Daphnia pulex: one gene and its partners. The protein of the gene in region 3 purifies or fractionates together with the protein of the main gene of each other region. This does not show direct contact. Links are inferred from orthologs where the notes say so. Each region holds a gene or a part of one and is shown on either strand. Other genes may lie near its edges.

Evidence for each region.
Region 1: the proteins of transcription initiation factor TFIID subunit 4-like (region 3) and transcription initiation factor TFIID subunit 9-like purify together in Drosophila melanogaster (affinity purification with western blotting; 4 studies listed by BioGRID, with this or other methods). This does not show direct contact. The link is inferred for Daphnia pulex from reciprocal best matches to the Drosophila melanogaster genes Taf4 and Taf9.
Region 2: the proteins of transcription initiation factor TFIID subunit 4-like (region 3) and transcription initiation factor TFIID subunit 5-like purify together in Drosophila melanogaster (affinity purification with western blotting; 3 studies listed by BioGRID). This does not show direct contact. The link is inferred for Daphnia pulex from reciprocal best matches to the Drosophila melanogaster genes Taf4 and Taf5.

Annotation. Positions count from the first base shown.
Region 1 is NC_060027.1:3,087,694-3,093,156, forward strand, and holds transcription initiation factor TFIID subunit 9-like, read right to left. Parts: upstream 2,798-5,463; 5' UTR 2,669-2,797; coding exon 2,557-2,668; intron 2,491-2,556; coding exon 2,354-2,490; intron 2,292-2,353; coding exon 1,854-2,291; 3' UTR 1,758-1,853; downstream 1-1,757. Other genes in the region: G patch domain-containing protein 8-like, read left to right, coding at 1-186, 292-407, 469-856, 915-1,387; protein IWS1 homolog, read left to right, coding at 3,176-3,332, 3,397-3,651, 3,734-3,865, 3,928-4,279, 4,351-4,495, 4,562-4,774, 4,839-5,001. UniProt on the Drosophila melanogaster protein: TFIID is a multimeric protein complex that plays a central role in mediating promoter responses to various activators and repressors.
Region 2 is NC_060026.1:1,542,637-1,549,272, reverse strand, and holds transcription initiation factor TFIID subunit 5-like, read right to left. Parts: upstream 3,902-6,636; 5' UTR 3,867-3,901; coding exon 3,684-3,866; intron 3,622-3,683; coding exon 3,430-3,621; intron 3,369-3,429; coding exon 3,166-3,368; intron 3,104-3,165; coding exon 2,907-3,103; intron 2,844-2,906; coding exon 2,642-2,843; intron 2,570-2,641; coding exon 2,450-2,569; intron 2,367-2,449; coding exon 1,775-2,366; intron 1,713-1,774; coding exon 1,311-1,712; 3' UTR 1,243-1,310; downstream 1-1,242. Other genes in the region: ras-related protein Rab-5C-like, read right to left, coding at 5,693-5,808, 5,878-6,137, 6,203-6,311, 6,374-6,572. UniProt on the Drosophila melanogaster protein: TFIID is a multimeric protein complex that plays a central role in mediating promoter responses to various activators and repressors. May play a role in helping to anchor Taf4 within the TFIID complex.
Region 3 is NC_060026.1:12,792,251-12,798,981, reverse strand, and holds transcription initiation factor TFIID subunit 4-like, read left to right. Parts: upstream 1-2,146; 5' UTR 2,147-2,153; coding exon 2,154-2,586; intron 2,587-2,677; coding exon 2,678-3,231; intron 3,232-3,287; coding exon 3,288-3,707; intron 3,708-3,771; coding exon 3,772-3,981; intron 3,982-4,065; coding exon 4,066-4,915; intron 4,916-4,983; coding exon 4,984-5,297; intron 5,298-5,377; coding exon 5,378-5,500; intron 5,501-5,564; coding exon 5,565-5,678; 3' UTR 5,679-6,279; downstream 6,280-6,731. Other genes in the region: metaxin-2-like, read left to right, coding at 723-768, 831-958, 1,018-1,134, 1,189-1,281, 1,354-1,518, 1,577-1,653, 1,717-1,909. UniProt on the Drosophila melanogaster protein: TFIID is a multimeric protein complex that plays a central role in mediating promoter responses to various activators and repressors.

The DNA of each region.
Region 1 (5,463 bases), on a different chromosome or scaffold from region 3:
CTGGTGATGACGATGATTATCCAGGAAAATGGCGACCCATGGCGTTGAAGGTGAAGTTGGGTCGTGGGTCTGACGAGCCCGAAGTTGAAGAAAGTCGTATGGTATACATGAAAGAAGAGAAAAGAGCTCCGCCAGCTCAACAAGCACCTGTTGAACAAGAAGAGGAGATGCCGCCAGGTGACTTCAGTAATTAATATTTTTATTTTTTACGTTTGCCTTGATTCCATTTTTATTTTGTATCTTTTATTTTTTGAATTTTTGTTTAAAAATAACGTTTTATTGTTTAAATAGGGGAAGACAAAGTCTCTTTTAAGATACAGTCATTTGGATTGTTTGGCCCGGGTCCTCGTCAGGCACCGCCCAAACCAGTCAGTCCGCCAAAAACCAATGAGCAAGCTCAGTCGGAGGTTAGTTGATCAAAGAAATTTCAAAATAAGAATAAAGTTAAATCGCGATTAAATGTTATAGGCCAATCAAGAGAAAGAGCGTGGAAGCAGATCCCGTTCGCGGTCTCAACGCCGCCGCTCACGTTCGCGTAGCCAATCTCGAAGCCGAAGTCGTGGGAGGTCATATTCACGATCTGGTTCTAGATCTCGGTCTCGGTCTGGGTCTCGCGACCGCCGTAGACGATCACGATCCCATTCCGGCGATAGACGCCACCAAAATCAACGTTATCGCGGAGGAAACCGCCATCCGAATCAAAACTATCATCATCGTGGCGGACGCTATCCCCAACGTGGTGGCTTTCAGAACCGTGGTCGTGGTTGGAATAACAACTACAATAACAATCGTGGAGGATATAACAACCGCCCGTACAACAATCGACCTTATCATAATAACAACAACAACAATCAAGGTATTCAGTAAGGTTATTAAAATTTAGAGCTTTGTATTTACTTGAATATTTGATTTAGGAGGATATGATAATCGCCGCCACCGTGGTCGCAACAGAGGCGGCTATTGGCAACAGCAAATGCAACGATCGTATTCGCGTAGTCGAAGCCGTAGCCGCACTCGATCCCGTTCTCGCAGCCGCTCACGCAGCTACAGTCGCAGTGTAAGCCGCAGTCCATCTCGCAGCCGCTCCCGTAGCCGCCAGGACAACTATCGCGGTCGTGACCGAGATGCAAGAGATAACCGGGATGCCAGAGATACAAGTCCTCAAGGTCGTAATGATCAGGATCAGCATCGTAACGAACGAGAAAGTGGAGAAAGAGATGTACAGCAACGTAGTCCAGCACGTGAAGAGAAACCTGGTCCTGTACCCGCTCCAGTTGCCGCTGTGACAGCATCGTCGTCCCAGTCTGATCGTCGTAAAGTTGGAAGTAAATGGGACGATGGAGGTGGTGACGACGATGAAGACTTGGTCCCACCGGGCTGCGAATAGTTTTTCTACACGTGCAGTTAATACTGCAACATTTGATGAGCACATGGAATTCCTTCATTTTTTTTTCTCATACATTTTAACTATTCGCCCCCCCCCCATTTGCAAAGTTCAACACGATCAAGTCTGCATAGCAGTTTTCAACCCTATGATTTTACTTTCAGAAACCAAGCTGATTTTGTCTCGTCAGCCGTTCCATTGTGTTCCTCAGCACTCGTTGTCCCCCTTTAAGATTCCTTTTCTCGTGTCAAACATGTGTGCTAAGGTGATAAAACATTGAGTTGAACATCTTTCCTATGTACATCTGGAAGCCATATTACACGAGCAACGTTAATTCATTTTTTAAATACTTGGATAGCATGAAGAAAAAATCTTAAGTCGATTGATTTATTCAAGAATTTATCATTACTCAGGCAACGTAACGCGAGCTTGTAAGAAATTTAATGAAATAAGAAACCATTCCAATAATTCACGCAGCATCATAATCATCGTCCTCTCTTTCACGCTTCACTCCTCGAACATCAATTTCCATTTTCTCTGCTGGCTGATTGGGCTGAGCCGGAATATTGATCTGAATCTTTGGAACATTGGCGGGAGTATTAATTGCAGAACCAGTGTTGATCTTCACAACAGGTCGAGGAGTTGTGGGAGTTCCCGCATTAATCGTAGTGACCCGAACTGCAGGTGAACTCGGTCGGTGCACAGCTCTTGCCGCCCCCAGCATACCAATTCTAGATCCAGTAGTCGATCCACCACCAAGAGCCTTTGGTAATGTCTTTTTGATAGTTTTCAACTTGTAATTGCAAGCAGCAAGGCAATGACAGTCAGGTGGCAGGCGAATGCCACAGTGTGGTTTCACTGAAGGTAGAGGTGTGCTATTTTTTGATCTTGCAACTTCCATGAGAATCTAAATGTGAAATAGATGAGAATATGGCCAAATAACTTATTTCTATTGTAAATTCTGTATACTTCACGTGGTGGGGGAGAAGTGAAAGATTGTTCCATTTGCATTGAAACAGCAAGTTTGACATCGTCCAAATCAATCCCTTTTTTCTTAGCATGATTTGCATATGCCTTAGCGTCATCTAGGACAGTAGTCACATATCCTAAGATTAAAAACAGTTAATGAAAAGTCGTTCATAATCGTTCTATTTGACTATTCCTAGGCTTACGGTATATGAATTCCAACAGTTGATTGATAACCCTAGGCTCGTATTCAGTAATGCCCATATCTTTTAGGATAGCTTGAATTACTAGAGCATCACGGGGAATTTTTGTAGACATGGTCGTTAGATTTGAAATCAAACTGAGATACCAATAAACCAAATAAACCAACTATTATTGACTTGAATTCAAAAGATTCCTTCGAGGCTGTCTCATTTCACTTTTGTTAACAGAATAAGTTGGGCTGTCAACTTATCCTTCAGCCATCTAGCGTTAGCTTTGAGCATTTTTATTCATTTGTTTGTGTGCTGGAAGACGAGCACACAATAAAACCAAAAGTTTTAATCTTTCTCTTTTTTTTAAGATTTTAATTAATCCCTAACCGTCGATCAGTCAACACTAGGTAAGACATGCACATTCCAATGAAGATTATGATTCTGTGTTCTGGTTAAAGAAATTGAATTTATTTATTACGTTCAAACATCTTTTTTACCGGCATCACAACATTTCCTAATTAAAACGATATGTTCTATTAATCTCATCATAATTTAAGCAATATAGATTCACAACATTTGTGAATAAAGTTGAAACAATGGTACTTTTTCTATTCTAAACAGCCTTTAGAGGATGGATGACTCTTTGCACATGTCTGAGCCAAACATCAAAGACGATGCAGAAGATTCCAAGGAAGGAAGTCTGGGGAAGGATGGAAATGATTCAGTGTCAAGTGAACAGAAAGAAATAGAAGATAAAGCCAACAATTCCAATGTTTCTAATGATTATGGTAAGTTGAGTGAAGTTATGTTTATTTCTTATAATACGATGTCAATCTACTATTAAAATCACAGACAAAGCAAAAGATGATGATGGCTCTCAGTCTCCCCATTTGAAGAAAGGCTCTAGAAGTCGATCACCATCTGCTTCCAAATCACATTCAAGATCAAGATCTCGTTCTTCATCTAGATCAAAATCTGGGTCTCGTTCTCGATCAGGGTCACGTTCGTCACGCCGTTCGTCACGCCGTTCGTCAAAATCACGGTCTCGCTCTAAATCACGTTCAGGCTCAAGATCTAGAAGTCACTCTAAATCAGTTTCTCGAAAAGGTACTGTATTAGTTGCTAAAAATTTTGATGAGATTAAAACAATTATAATATTCCAAATAATAACTGGTGTTAAAATAAATAGGCTCCAGGTCACGTTCTAGATCTGGTTCTCGTTCGTCTCGTTCGAGATCGCGTTCGTCACGCAGATCTTCTAAATCACGTTCAAGGTCTGGTTCTCGCTCGAGATCCCGAAGCCGTTCAAAATCACGATCACGTAATAGTAGTTTTGGGTAATCCGATTCGTGTTTTGTTAATGTACAAATGTTTTCCAAAAAGGATCCAGGTCTAAAGGCTCAAGATCTAGATCAAGATCTTCGTCGGCGTCCAGCGTGAAAAGCAGGGGAGGTGGTACTCGTAAACGTAAACACAGTCGAAGTGGCAGTGACTCCGACGGACCTGGAAGCTCGAAGAAAAAAGAAAAGACGAAATCACGTATTGCTCGTCCAGCTGGAGATTCAAGTGATGAAGAAGGGGGTAGTCGAAACGAAAAAGACAAAAAAGTTTTGGACGATGTTTTTGGGGAATCTGGTGACGAAGCACCAAAAAAAGACGAAACTAAACAACCAAAACAGGATGATTCAGATAAGGGACAAGATTCTGAATCAGATAATCCAGATGATGATCAAAGGTAAAAAAAAAAAATCATGTGAAATTTTCGTTGTCATTTTTTAAATTCATTATTGATGTTTGTATTAACAGGTCAGAATTTGTTTCTGATTTTGACCTGATGATGGCCCGCAAAAAGGATGAAAAACGGAAGCGCAAGCGCAAAGACGTCGACATCATTAACGATAACGATGACTTGATTGCTCATATGATTCAACAAATGAAAGCTGCTTCTGAAGTAAAAATGGTCTTCGAATCAGTCATCAATAATATTAATGCGTTTTTTTAATGTTGCTGTGTAAAGGAGGATCGTGAGTTCAACAAAAATCGAAAACCAGCAACCAAGAAAATTTCTCTTCTTCCGACAGTTATTGCACAGCTACGGAAGCATGATCTACAGATGGCTTTCATTGAACACAACATACTTAGCGTTCTTACAGATTGGCTTGCTCCAATGCCGGATCGCAGCCTTCCGGCTCTGAGAATTCGCGAGCAAATTCTCGCTATGCTTCAAGAAGTAAATGTCCTTTATTTTCCTTTCTGTTCCAGACCCTAAATTAAATTACGTATTTTCAAACTAGTTTCCACCGCTGGATCAAGGGACGCTAAAACAGTCTGGAATTGGTAAAGCAGTGATGTACCTTTGTAAGCACCCCAAGGAAACCAAGGAGAATAAGGATAAAGCTGGAAGACTCATCAGTGAATGGGCTAGACCAATTTTCAACTTAACGACTGATTTTAAAGGTATTTCGAAATTTAATATATAGTTGGCAGCAATACGACTTTTCTTGGGGGGGGAGGGGGTATCAAATCCCTTGGGGTACTGCAAATATTGAACAACAAGTGCATACAAAATGGTTAATTCCAATTTTCACTTGCAAACCACAAACATTTTTACGGTTGCTTAAAATGAACTCTGTTGAGGTTATGATAAGGTATTTATTAGTATAAATTTGGTCTGCCTCTCTTTTGATTTCCTTTTAACTTGGAGAAAATACGACTTAACACTTTACCATCGTACTTGTCTAAAGGCAAAGGTATAAGGTCAGGGAGAAAAATTGCATTAACTTGTGCCTTAAACTAATGAGTAAGGAAAATAATAAGCCTTGGTAACGCTTGGCTACATACGTAAGCCACGTGCATACGGTGCTAATTTTTGGTGAGGTATAAGTCGTCCCTGGGTGAGTGCTCGCCTACTTTGCGAGT
Region 2 (6,636 bases), about 11 Mb from region 3:
CGAATCTTTTAGCTTTTAACAGGGTCTGACTGTGTAAAATTTTGAGAAAATGTTTGGGAATAATAAAAAAAGGAACACACACACAAGTGTGTGTGTAGAGAACGTGGGGAAGTGGAGAGGAAAAATAAAAAACGTGGTGGGTTGAGCCCGCGCTGACGGAATATCCCGCGCGATCAAATTGGCGCCACAAGCGAATGGCCAGCCAATCAGAGACGAGCCCAACCACTAGCTGTTCACGTGCTCAACTCGTGTCACGAAAAACTGGAGGGAGGCTTTTTTTTTTAACTGCTGCTGCCAAACCGTACACAAATCTTTTAGCATTTTTCTTTTCCCTATTAACACACCCTTTTTTCTGGCGAAAAAATATATTACGTATTCGTTGACTTTGCATGGCAACTGCGCCAGCTGACGTTCATTATACGAATGGTAAACATTTTCGCTGACGAACATTGTTACGTGCGAATAAACTGGGACACGTACACAATGTTTTGGCATTGGTCGAACCGAGCCCCCCAACCGACAACTTTCTGTCGAGTCATTTCAGTTAAAATCCCTTTTTTTGGCTACCCCTACGCAAAGCTGTTTGATGTATACATGTAATGTTGCTATGCCACATTTGGTGTGTTGGGGCCTACACAGCCGATTGCGTCATTCCCTTATGTGTGATAATAAATCAACAGTTCCTTTCTTCTGTTGAAGGAATCTTTGAACGACAACGCGATAAGAATACAGTATTTTAATACACTTGGGACTAAATCAAATTTCCGGGATTTTTTTCTGATTCAATTAAAATTAATTATTGGCGAAAAAATAATAAATTATGTGTGCACACATGACGACCGACCGGTCGCTATACGTGTCCAAAGAAACAAGTTACGTGTGACTTTTGTCTAGCTCCAACCTTATTTGGTCTACAAAGAAATTTGAATTTTATTATCCCGTTAAGTCTCCATTTTATGGTCTAGACTTTGCTCGTTTTTCTTTTAATATTTGAACAGTTCTTTGGGATTTTTCCAAGGTTTGGTTCAAATTCAAAGGTTCACTGCGTAGCAATAGGAATTTAACCATTCGGACTGACTCAAACTGGAAACTTCTAGATCGACTCGGAAAAAACCAGGTCGATTATCTTCTATTTATACAGCGGTCTCGAGGTTCACTAGGCACGTTTACGAAAAATACGTAGCCAACTCGACAGAATTTGGTTTTTCCCGACTTGACAACAACAAAATGGATCTGTGGAAATAAGAGACAAAGTTATATGTATTTTAATTCTTATTATTATTTTTTAAAAATTGGTGTGAATCGAGGGATTAGCCTTCAAACATGCCGGCAGCGAGTAGCAAATTCCTCCGCGTGAAATGCAATGACATGACAGGAGTGGCTTTGGTCGGGTAACGTGCCAGGCGGAGCGATTCAATGGCGTTACTCCGCTTGAGAAGGTCTGGATTGTGACCCGAGATGTTGACGTCCTCTAAAGAGGACTCATCCGTCATCCGGAAGAAATCCCACAGTTGGATGGAGCCGTCCAGGGAAGACGTGGCGAACACGGTCCCGTCTCGACTGAAGGCCAAACTGGAGATTGTCATCGTGTGCCCAGGCAGGTCGGCCAATAAGTGACCGTGAGCCAGATCCCATAACAGGACTTTTTGATCAGCTCCACCGGATGCCAGAAAACGGCCGTCGGTGGAGAAACACAACGCCGAGACGGTTCCCTACACAAACAAAAAACTTGTAAAGAAAAACAAACTCATAAAAAGGATGAAAATGTTTTTACTTTATGACCAGTCATTAGCCGGACACAGTTGCCAGTTACGCAATCCCATAAACGGACGCTCCTATCGCTGGAACCTGTGGCGACGTAATTGGAATTGGGATGGAATTGGACCACGTCAACGTCTGAATAATGGCCGGCAAAGATCCTTAAAGGCTGGTGATGATCGGTGGCCCAAAGTCTGGCAGTCCGATCATGTCCGACTGATGAGAAATAGTAGCCGTGAGGGGAAAACCTCACGTCCCACACGGGGTAAATGTGGCCTTTATAGACCACCAGGCAGGTCCACGTCTGCAAACTCCACAGCCGGATCGTGGCGTCTTCCGACGATGATAAGAGTAACGTCCGGTCGTGACTGAACGAGGCAGCGTAAACCGGCCCGCAATGGCCGTGAAGGACTTTCATAGTCTCACCCGTCTTGTCGTCCATCATACGAACGAGAACATCTTCGGCCTCCTTGTCGATATCGGCCAATTGCTCGGCCGGTTTCATGGCCCGGAGTTTCTGGGGTACAAGACTCCAAACTTTGAGGATGGAATCGGAAAACCCTACGGCTAATAGTGACGAATCCTCGCAGAATTCGACGCACGTGACCCTGTCATTCACAAAAAGGGAAAAAGAAAAAAAATTATAATTTCAAATTGAATGGAAAAAATCAGGTAAATTAGAATAACTGACGTTTCCGCGCAATTCAGCATCGTGTAGAAACAAATGGACGGCAAATTGTCTGGACCAAGAGCCACCCTCTTGCTGGCTTCTCGTAGGGCCCTGACCTTCTCCAGTTTGTCGATATCTCTCCTGAAACAGAAACTCACAGCTCAACCATTTTCCTTTTTTTCCACACCATTTTTCACTGCATCTGCATCTTACAAATCTGGTAATGGCAATCGGCTGGCCGGTGGAGCATTAGGGTCGCTCTTGGCTTTCTTGTTGAGCAACGGATCCTTTTTGGGTTTCTTCTTTTTGGGCTTTTCACCACCTTCGCCGGGTTCTCCGTCCTCTTCCTCCTCGACTACCGGAAGCTGGATATCGGGCTCTTTGAGCAGACCATAGTAGATTTTGGTCTTGTTTACTGTAAGTGAAAAGAATTGGTAATTGTTTTGGGGATTTCTTTCTAATCTCTTGATTTGTGTACCTTGTCTGTTGGCCTCGCCTTCCATGGCTCCGGCTGTGGATTCAACTTGGGCTTTATTTCTCGGCACTCCTTCGTACATGTCGACGTACAAGTGTTCCTGAATGACGTTCATGACAATTGATTGGTTCTTGTCCTGCAAAAACCGCTTCAAAACCGAGTAAGTATCCCGGGACATTCGAACGGTGAACTGACTTGATCTGTTTAACAATTTAAGTTTTTATGATTGACGATTTTATTTAAAAAAAAAGTGATTTGTTACTTGAAATTCTCCATGAGATCACTGCCTTTCATGTGTTCTTTTTTGGTAATAAAAGAAACTTTTTTAAGATCATCCTGATAATAATCTTCCTGATCTGTTGAAAAACGTTCCATAAATTTAGCGGCTTCTGATTCATGTTGGTTGTAAATCATTTCCAAATACATGTGGACAAATAAAGGGTACAATACTAGGGACAGCTCATGCTGAAAAGTAAACAAATTGAAATTATTATTTGAAATTGAGTTGAATATCTTTTGACCATACTTTATAAACATCCAGCGAGCTTTCCACAAATCTCCTGTAACTTAGGTAAGCTTTTTCGTAGGCATTTGGGTCTCCTTCGCTCTTGTATGATGAGAGCAAATTTGTTGCCTCTGAATCCACTTGAAGAGCTTGTGCATCTCGTAATTGATCCTCCTTGAGCCGTGCTTCTTTTTTCAAAATATCAGCCGTCCCCTAATACATTGTAAATAAATGAGACGCCGAAATTTAAAAATAATCATGTCATTTTCAGTTACTTTCAGGTTGTGCTTCTGAAGAAACTGTAATACGGCCGCAAGGGTATTGGAGTCGACATTTTCTGGTTCTACAGGTTGAACTGCACTGTTTTCACTTGGAACTTCACTGTTTTGACTTTCAGATGCTTCAATTTTCGCGTTTGAATTACTTGTTTGAGATATCTGATTCATATCGAACTCCATTTTTCCTTTTTTTTTTCGTTGTAAACAACCCCGACAGCGGGTTTGCATTGTGCCAGTTATCAAATTTATTTACTAAAATATTAATTAAAACAATACTTTACCCATAATAAAATTGCTAATTTTTCTAGCATCAAATTAATATAGGTTTTAATATGTTTTACGATATAATATTTCAACTATTTTTAAAGAAAGGAGTGGAAACGGAAATAGGCAATGTAGGAGACCATCAGGCACTGGCTCTCTCACTCTTCTCTGCAGTCTTTCCTAGGTAAGTTCATTCTTGGTTTTACTGAGTTAACAAAATCCAATATCATCCAACAATTGCCTCGTTTTCAACATCTCTAACCGACTGTTTCGTTTTCCTTGTTTCATTTAGAGACCGACTGCATCATGAGAGCTAAGGTAATTATCGTTTTTCTACCTATTCTATGTGTTTCATGTATCGGTGTACTGTGATGCTTGTCTCGAGGCTTGTGAATCTAATGGCCGGCTCTTTCTTTCTTTAGTGGCGTAAGAAGCGTATGCGTAGGCTTAAGCGTAAGCGCAGGAAGATGCGTGCTCGCTCCAAGTAAATCCATTCTCAACCACTCGCAGTCACATGGAAGCAAATGGCAGTCTGATTCTTAGGTAAGTTCACTAGTTTTAATGACGCCGTGTAAATTGTCTCTAACTGTTCTGTTCTTTCACTAGGTAATTCTGGGTCAGCTGTCATCCAGAACCAGAAAACTAATTACCACCACGAGTTCCCACTTGGACAAAAGCTGCTGAAATTTGGCTGTAAAAAAAATTACCTCTTGTGAAATGTCATTCGTATTTGTACCATGTGCATCAATATAGATTCGCCTTTTCACAAGAATATCCAAATTTTTCTCGTTATTTCTCCACTCATTTCAACTTCCAAAGTGCAAAGGCTTATCAGTATCAGTAAAGCCAATTAAAGAAAGAATGAAATGAAATCAACGGGCAAGGCAAGAAATGTACATTTCCTGATATAGCAGCGTTACTTACACGATATCCAAGTTAGGACATTATTCGAAAGATATTGGGAGGGCCACGATCATGATCAAGGAGAGAAAAAGCTAAATAGGTATATAGAGAAGAAATGTGTGGAACACCTACATTGATTTGTATATAAAAAAAAAAAAAGGTAATCAAGGTTTCACAAAGCTTGATATACAAAAGTTTTGAAGGGCGGGGGGGAGGTTCGAGTATACACAAAAGAAACGGGGGGAAGAAATTCTACACACGAGAAAAAAGAACCATCACACAAGTTTGTTTGAAGTAAAAACGTGGGGGGAAAAAAGGTGTGTGTTATGTAAAAACCAAAATAGAAAAAAAACATGGTTGATGATGGTCGGGAGATTTAATAATACAGAGTCAGGCCATTATTTTTTGTAAACCCTTGCCTTGTTTTCTTTTCCAATTCAAATTCGCCATTTAATTTGGAATGTCGCTGCTCCGTTTGAATAAAAAAAAAATTAAAAAATAAACGATCGACACAACGGATAATCCCCAAAAAAGGTTGTAACTATTTAAATGCTGCAAATTATATTCTGATGGGGGGAGGGGGATGCTGTAAAGGGATATGATATAAAAGTCCTTTTGATGGTTTACAAAAAAAAAAATTAGGGAAAAATAATAATAAGAAAGAAAAGGAATTGGATCCCCGCGTGTGGAAAAAACAAAGAAAACAAAGAACGGATGATTTTTTCTTTTTTTTTAATATATGGTTTTTTTGTTGTTTTTGTTGTCTTTCATAAATGTGTGTAGTATGTGTTTTTTTTCTTTGTTTAGTTTCTTTTTTTTGTTGTTTAATTATTTCGTGATCACTTGCAGCACGAGGAAGCTGGTTTGTTGCCGTCTTCAGCTCTGTCTAGCCTCCTACCCTGCCCACTGCTTCCGCCAACACCTCCAGCTCCGTCGTTCTTAGGTAGTTTCTTGGCTGTCAAGTGCAAAAAGAAAGATGTACATAGAGAAGAATAATTGCATGTGAGTAATGAGTTGAATTTACCGATAGCCAAGAAGATGTCGTTGACGTTCATGGCCGTCTTGGCTGACGTTTCCATAAATAGAAGTCCGTTTTCTTCGGCGTAGCCTTTAGCTTCGTCAAATTCAACAGCACGTTTAGCGGCCAAGTCGGCTTTGTTGCCCGCCAAGGCAATGACAATGTTAGGGGAGGCTTGACGTTGCAACTCTTTCACCCAGACCTTGGCCCGGCCAAAAGTGTCTTGGTTTGTTATGTCGTACACTACAATAGCCGCCTGTGCCCCTCTGCAAATATCAACAAAGGTGTTATTGATACAAGTTGACACTTTTTGTTTTATGATCAATCGTACCTGTAATACATGGGGGCAAGACTGTGGTATCGTTCCTGGCCAGCAGTATCCCAAATCTCAAATTTGACAGTTGTGTCATCCAAACAGACTGTCTGTGTCAAGAAAGCCGCTGGAAAGAAAACGACAACATTAACAACTGTGATCAAAGAGTGGAGATGAAATCATGTTTACCTCCGATGGTACTCTCCTGGTATTCATGGAACTGTCCTTTGACAAAACGGAGAACCAGACTGGACTTTCCCACTGCAGACTCACCGAGAAGCACCAGTTTGAACTGGCAGATTTTGCCCTGTGTGGCACCATTTGGTCGCTGTGCAGCTCCACCGGCTGCTGCTGTTGCTGTTCCAGCTTGATTCCCACGATTGGCCATGACTCTGCTGTAAACTGAAGCTGCAACAAGAAAGAAAAAAACATCAGTTCACAACCTTGTGCAA
Region 3 (6,731 bases):
CTGGAAACAAGATACTGAATTGTTACGGTTTTTTTTAGCATCAATTGGTATCAATTACCATCACGAGAAAATAACGCGCACTTCGACAAATAATAGAACTTGGGTCAGAAATCAAGTTTTTTAAAGGTAAAAATCAGGAGCAGTAAATTAAAAACAGATTTCAAAACACACAAAAACAGGTCGGTCCTAGAGGGAAATTTACGCTTGCAAAAAGGGAACTGATTATTATGTGGAGCACGACGACGTGTTCTAGCGACATTCGCATTTCGCGGTACGATGTGGCAAGTACATTTCGTAGAAATGCATTTAGAAGGGCGTTGAAAAGCAGAAAGTTACGTTACAGGTGAACATTTAACTATATTTAATATAAAAAACAAATTGGTAGAAATATTTATTAATTAATACATTCTCTATCAACCTGTATTTTCACAGCAAAACATTTTGAATTTTGAATACGTTTGATTACAAATATAATTATGATTTATGATGCAATAATTATTTCAATGACAAATTTTTACTACAATTCTTAAATATCTAGTTACTAGTTGGTCAGTAAATTAAGCTTATTAGAAAAATCCAATTTTGAAATTTATTTTGGGTTCATCATTTTTGCGTAATTTGGCAACTCTGAATAAAAACCGCAGCAGCCGATCTAAAAATAATTCCGTATTGATGTTGTGATTTTCTTATTTTAGCCGATAAAAGTTTAATTCATTACGATAATGCCATCAGTTTTACTAACAGACTCTATTTCATTAGAGCTTGGAGGTAATCATTTTGGATATTTTATATTTTCACATTTATTTCTCACTTTTAAAAAAACCTAATAGCTTTGGAACCTTGGCCTTCTGACGTCAAACTTTATCAGCCCTATGAAGTTGAACAAATTCTATTGCAAGATCAAGCCAATTCTTTGGCTGTCCAAGTTTTTCTGCGAATGTGTGGTTTAGAATTTCAGGTAAATTGGAAAACTAAAACTAAGGAAATCTTAAGTTATTGATTTATTTCTTTTCTTAGGTGGAAATGAGAAGCAATGCTGAGCATATGTCACCATCCGGAAAATTGCCTTTCATAAAATGTGGTGCCTTTGTAGTAGCTGATCTTGACCCTGTTGTCAGTTTTGTGAGCAACAAGGTATTTTCAATATTTTCTCTACAATCCCATTTTATGACGTGTTTTTTTTTGTAGGGTATAAATCTTACAGATCACTTGGATGCTGCTCAAAAAGCAGACATGAGAGCTTACATGTCTTTAGCAAACAATATATTGGGAAATGCAGAGGTATTATATTATTATATTTGTAACTACTTTTGTGTGTTATGTGATTGATGAGCAGTGTTTGTTCCTACTTAGTTATATATCAGCTGGTGTGATGAAACTGTTTTGAATGAAGTAACTGGTCCTCGTTATGGCTCTGTCTATTCTTGGCCTTTGAACACTCTGCTAACCTGGAGAAAACAGAAACAAGTAACTAAGAAATTAACTGCTCTTGGCTGGATTACCAAAACACTTGATGAGGTGATTTGTTTGGTCTAATAGTTTTTGCATTAGAAAATTATTTATTATTTTCCTGCAGGTATATGAAGATGTTGATCATTGCTGTAATGCGCTAAGTGAGCGATTAGGAAACCACCTTTATTTCTTTAATGATAGGTATTAAATTTTTTAAAATGGGTTTCTAATAAAATAAGTGCTGACTTTGTTCCTCGTCATTAGATGCACGGAATTAGATGCGGTTGTCTTTGGCCATGTGTTTACTTTGCTGACCACACCGTTGCCCGACAATAGATTAGCATCCATTGTGCGATCCTACCCGAATCTGGTCGAGGCTTGCCAGTTCCTTGAGAAGACTTACTTCCAGAAACCAACCGCCAAGACAACGGACGATGACAGCGATAATTTTGACTAAGTTCAAATAGTATAGGAAAAGTTGTAAAGTTTATAATAGCCCCATACTTCTGAGATTTACACGCTATTATATTTCATTGATATGATATCCTTTAGAGTAAGCACACACGCGGTTATTAAATACAAGAGTAGAAAATTCAAAAAAATATAGTAAAGGGTTTGAAAAATGAACACTAGGTGGTTTGACTATGCTAGGGGAGGAGTGACACGTTTCAACGTTTTGCCGCTAGGGCAGAGGTTGGGAAATGAGCTGCTTACAGTCAGTTTGGGAACCGGGTTCGGAGCAGAAAATGGCGTCTAGCTTCCTGGACGATTTAATCTCGAACCCGTCAGCGGATGCCGACGCTGTCTCCGCGTTAGTTGGATCACTTGAGAGCCAGTTGAGTAATGCAAATGTTGGTGCTAGTAATAACACACAAGGCGGCGGCTTGGCTTTTACGACAAGCTCTACCTCGTCGGTTCCTCCACCGCTGCAGCCTGCCAATACCCCGTCCGCTGCCACCACAACGGCAACATTCGCGGGAAACGGCAGTAGCCTGCACGCAACAACAACTTGCGCGCCAGCAGCATCAGTTCCGATCGGATCGGCGCTGTCAACGGTCCCTTCTTCAGTCTCTTCTATTCATTTACCAAACACCACCACCGTCCATTCAATACTTCCCAATGGCAATCCCAGTGGTAACACGACAATGTTATTTTTTCATGAACGAAACTGTATTGGACTTGGATTATGAGCTGATAACTGATTGTACTTCTTTCGTTCCTATAGGTATGGTCAACATCCAACAATTTGCAGGAGGTGCTATTGGTCTACCAAATGGCACAGTGGTCACAAGCTCAGGGAACGTTAACACAACACTGTCTGGTATGGTGATCCATCAGCAACAACAGAAGATGGTAGCGTCAACAGCTACTTCTCAGCAACCTACGATGATCATTCCGACTAAAGTTAACCAAACAGTAGCTTCAACAACAGTGATGGGACAGCAACAGCATCATCAACAACAACAACAACAAACTGTGCTGAACACTAATGGAACAGTCACCCTGAATTCATCTCAAGTGTTAAGACAGGGGACCCAAGTGGTTCAACAGCAGCAGCAGACGACCGTGATAAATAGTGCGGGGACAGGAATTCTTCCTGCGGGTGTGCAAGTAGTGAACATGAATGCTATGAGGCCGCAAAACGTACAAAACCTACAAAATATGGCCGCCTTGAACAATCCAGCTCATCGGACGCTTGCTCCTCGTGTGATGTTGGCACCTCAACAGATGGTTGGTGCTCGACCTGGACAAATGGGAATTACTTTACAAGCCTTACAAGTAACGTATCGATTAATAATATAAATCCCCGTGCTGATTGATTCTCTAATTAAAAGGGTTTCCAGGCTGCGGGAGCTCAGGGTCACTTGCTCGTCAAAACCGAAACGGGACAGTATCAGCTCTTACGTGTCGGTCCCGGTCCTGTAGCCGGCACGACAGTTGGGTCACAAGTTGTAACTTCAAACATTCCCTCGTTGCAAAATGTGGCCCAACAGCAGCAGCAACAACAACAACAACCTCAACAACAGCAGCAACAACAAAATATTCAACAATTAACAACGACTTCGAACGCTGTGCCCACGATGAATCAAAACGTTGGGGCTACTTATCGTTTGCAAGTCCCCGTGTCCACAACTATTCAACCTGTGTCCGCTACGACTGCGGCACCTGTTGGTGGGAGTGTGTCTGTTACCCCTACGAACACTTCGGCTCCCACCGCAGCCCCAGCATCAAATCCAGCCAGTAATTCTGGACAGGTGAATACAAACAAGTTCGATGTTTAATAGGATGGCTATTAAAACTTATCATATCCACTTACAGATGACCCCCGACACGGCCAAAGTCAAGTGCAAAAACTTTTTGTCCACTCTGCTACGTCTAGCGAGTGAACAGCCGGAATCTGTGGCCACTAACGTTCAAATGCTCATTCAGGGTTTAGTTGATGCGAAGGTTGAACCAGAGGAGTTTACAACGAAGCTCCAAAGAGAACTCAACTCCTCTCCTCAGCCTTGCCTCATTCCATTTCTCAAGGTATTGTAAAGTTGATCCTACCACTCGACTGTACGTTGTTTGTATTTGTTCTTTATATTGGATTCTTGTTATTTGGTTTCACAGAAAAGCTTGCCCTACTTGAGACAATCCCTAGCTTTACGAGAGTTGCATATTGATGGAATCCGACCGCCAGCCTTAACTACGGTCAACGCTCCGCAGCCCATGGTTATACAACAACAACATCCTCAACAACAGAGTGTTGTCAACCGAGTGAACGCCGGGCCAACGCAGATACAAACTGTACGGCCAATGGGTGGGCAAGTTCGACTCCAAACACCTACAATGGTTGGCGCCTCTGCTGGCACTCTACCCGCTCCACGGCCACCTAGACCAGCAGCCAATAAAGCCACTCCAAAGGCCAAAGCAGCCCAGCAGGCACCTAAAGTGACTGCCACGACAACGGCGGCCGCTGCCTCGACCACAATGACGGCTGTTTCTACTATCAAGACGGAGCCTTCCATTACTTCCGAGTCCCCAGCGCCAATCGCTTTTACCATCCACCTGCCACAAGTCGGAGGAGTAACATCAGCGCCGACTGCCATAACGCCGGGTCCTACACCTTTGGTCACGGTAGCATCGACGTCTTCGGTTCCGACGTCTAGTACGGCAACAAAGCCAACGACTTCGGCGGCAACAGTTTCCGTTGGTCCGGGTGGTATCAAAGGTCCTCTACCTGTACCAACTGGGCCCAAAGACGCTTCGAAGGAGAAAAAAGCTTTTACGTTTGGTTCGTCTCTAGCTGGTCTAGCGGACAACGACATCAACGATGTAGCGGCTATGGGTGGAGTTAACTTGGCAGAAGAATCGCAGCGTATTCTTGGCTCCACCGATATGATTGGTACTCAAATTCGATCCTGCAAAGACGAAAATTTCCTTTTCACCGGTCCCTTGCAGAGGAGAATCCAACAAATTGGTATTGACATCTGTTTTCTTGTTAGAGAAATCGACAAAGCTAATGATTTTATTACGTTTGTTTTTTAGCCTCCAGGAACGGTCTAGGAGATCCTAGTCCGGAAGTAGTTTCGCTTATATCACATGCCACTCAAGAACGATTGAAAACATTGTTGGAAAAGCTTGCCGTCACCGCCGAGCATCGAATGGAAGTTGTCAAAACAGACGCTCGTTACGAAGTCCAACAGGATGTCAAGGGTCAGCTAAAATTCCTCGAGGAACTGGACAAGTTGGAGCGACGAAGGCATAGCGAGATTCAACGCGAAATGCTTTTGAAAGCAGCAAAATCACGTTCGAAAGCTGAAGATCCTGAACAGGCAAAGTTGAAAGCAAAAGCAAAGGAGGTACGTGATAAAATATCTCGTTATAACTGTCACCTTCAAATTCAATGTTGTTAAACTTTGAAAAATTTATTAATTGACAGATGCAACGAGCGGAAATGGAGGAACTGAGACAACGCGAGGCCAACATGACAGCCTTGCAAGCTATTGGTATAAGGAAAAAGCCCAAACTCGACCTGGCTGGTACTACCGGCTCTTACAACCAGGTAAAATCGAACTTTATATTGCATTAAAAGAATTCAATTTTTACCGTTCCAATATTTGTTTTAGGTGCCTTTACGACCGCGTGTCAAGCGCGTAAATCTTCGGGATTTACTGTTCCTGCTAAAAGAAGAGAAAGGAACTATAAGATCCCCTCTGTTGTATAAAGCTTATCTCAAGTAGTCTTCTTTTGTCTCCCTCATCTCTTAAAAAAACACACACACACGTAAGCGTTAAGTTGTTTGCCCATCAACATGCCTGTGAGAGGTGCACATAAGGTTTCCCTATGGGAGTAAAAAAATGAAGCGTTTTATTGGAGGGGAAAACAAGCCTCTGTCCGTCACACCGACACTCTTTATGTTAATTAAGAGCAACGTTATGCAACCATGTCCTTGTTCTCTTCTCCTCCTTCTCCTCCTCGCGACATATGTCCCCCGCCCATCTTCTGTTGTACATACTGTTGATTTATTTGTGCGGGGGGCGGCGTGAAAATGTTCTTTTCTCTCTATTTCAATCTATCTATCTCTCTGAAATGATTATGTCTTTTGTATAATGTATCAGTGTGTGGATGGTTATGACGAAATCATGGAATGCTTTATAATGACGCCACATTTCAATCTTGTATCAACTTAAGAGATTCAATTGGAATTGGGACCTGGTGGACGTTCACCTTCCCATTCCTGAATCTCCTTTTTAATTCAAATGTTCATTTTTCTTCCCATCGCATTCGAATGCAGTGCGTACGTGATGTCGGACCAAAACAAGAGAGGCGAAGAAAAGAAAATTTACGTTTTTTTTTTAATTATTTGGCGGCAAGTTAGTGTGTCTTCGATCCCTTTATTTTGTTTTTGTTTCATCCAACTCAATCCAACCTTATTATCTTACTTTATAGCTTTGTTTCTCTCTTTATCCCATCCTTACCAGACACATAAATTGCACATAGGAGAACGTACAACACCGAGAAATCGACCAGCTTCACCTGCCAGAACCCACCTTAAATCATTTTAGTCCCTTTTCTCAATCCGTCTTCATTACCCAAAAACCCCGAGTTGTGAGAAGAAATGAAAAAAGAATCACTATAGAAGTTTTTTACAAAAAAAAAGGCATGGACATTTTTAATGGGTCGTGGTTTCAACAAAATAACTTTGTTTTTAGCGCGAATAACATATGTCAAACGTCATAGGATGCGTTCACAAATTGAACCGTGAAACTAAATGCATCCTAGTTCATATAGGT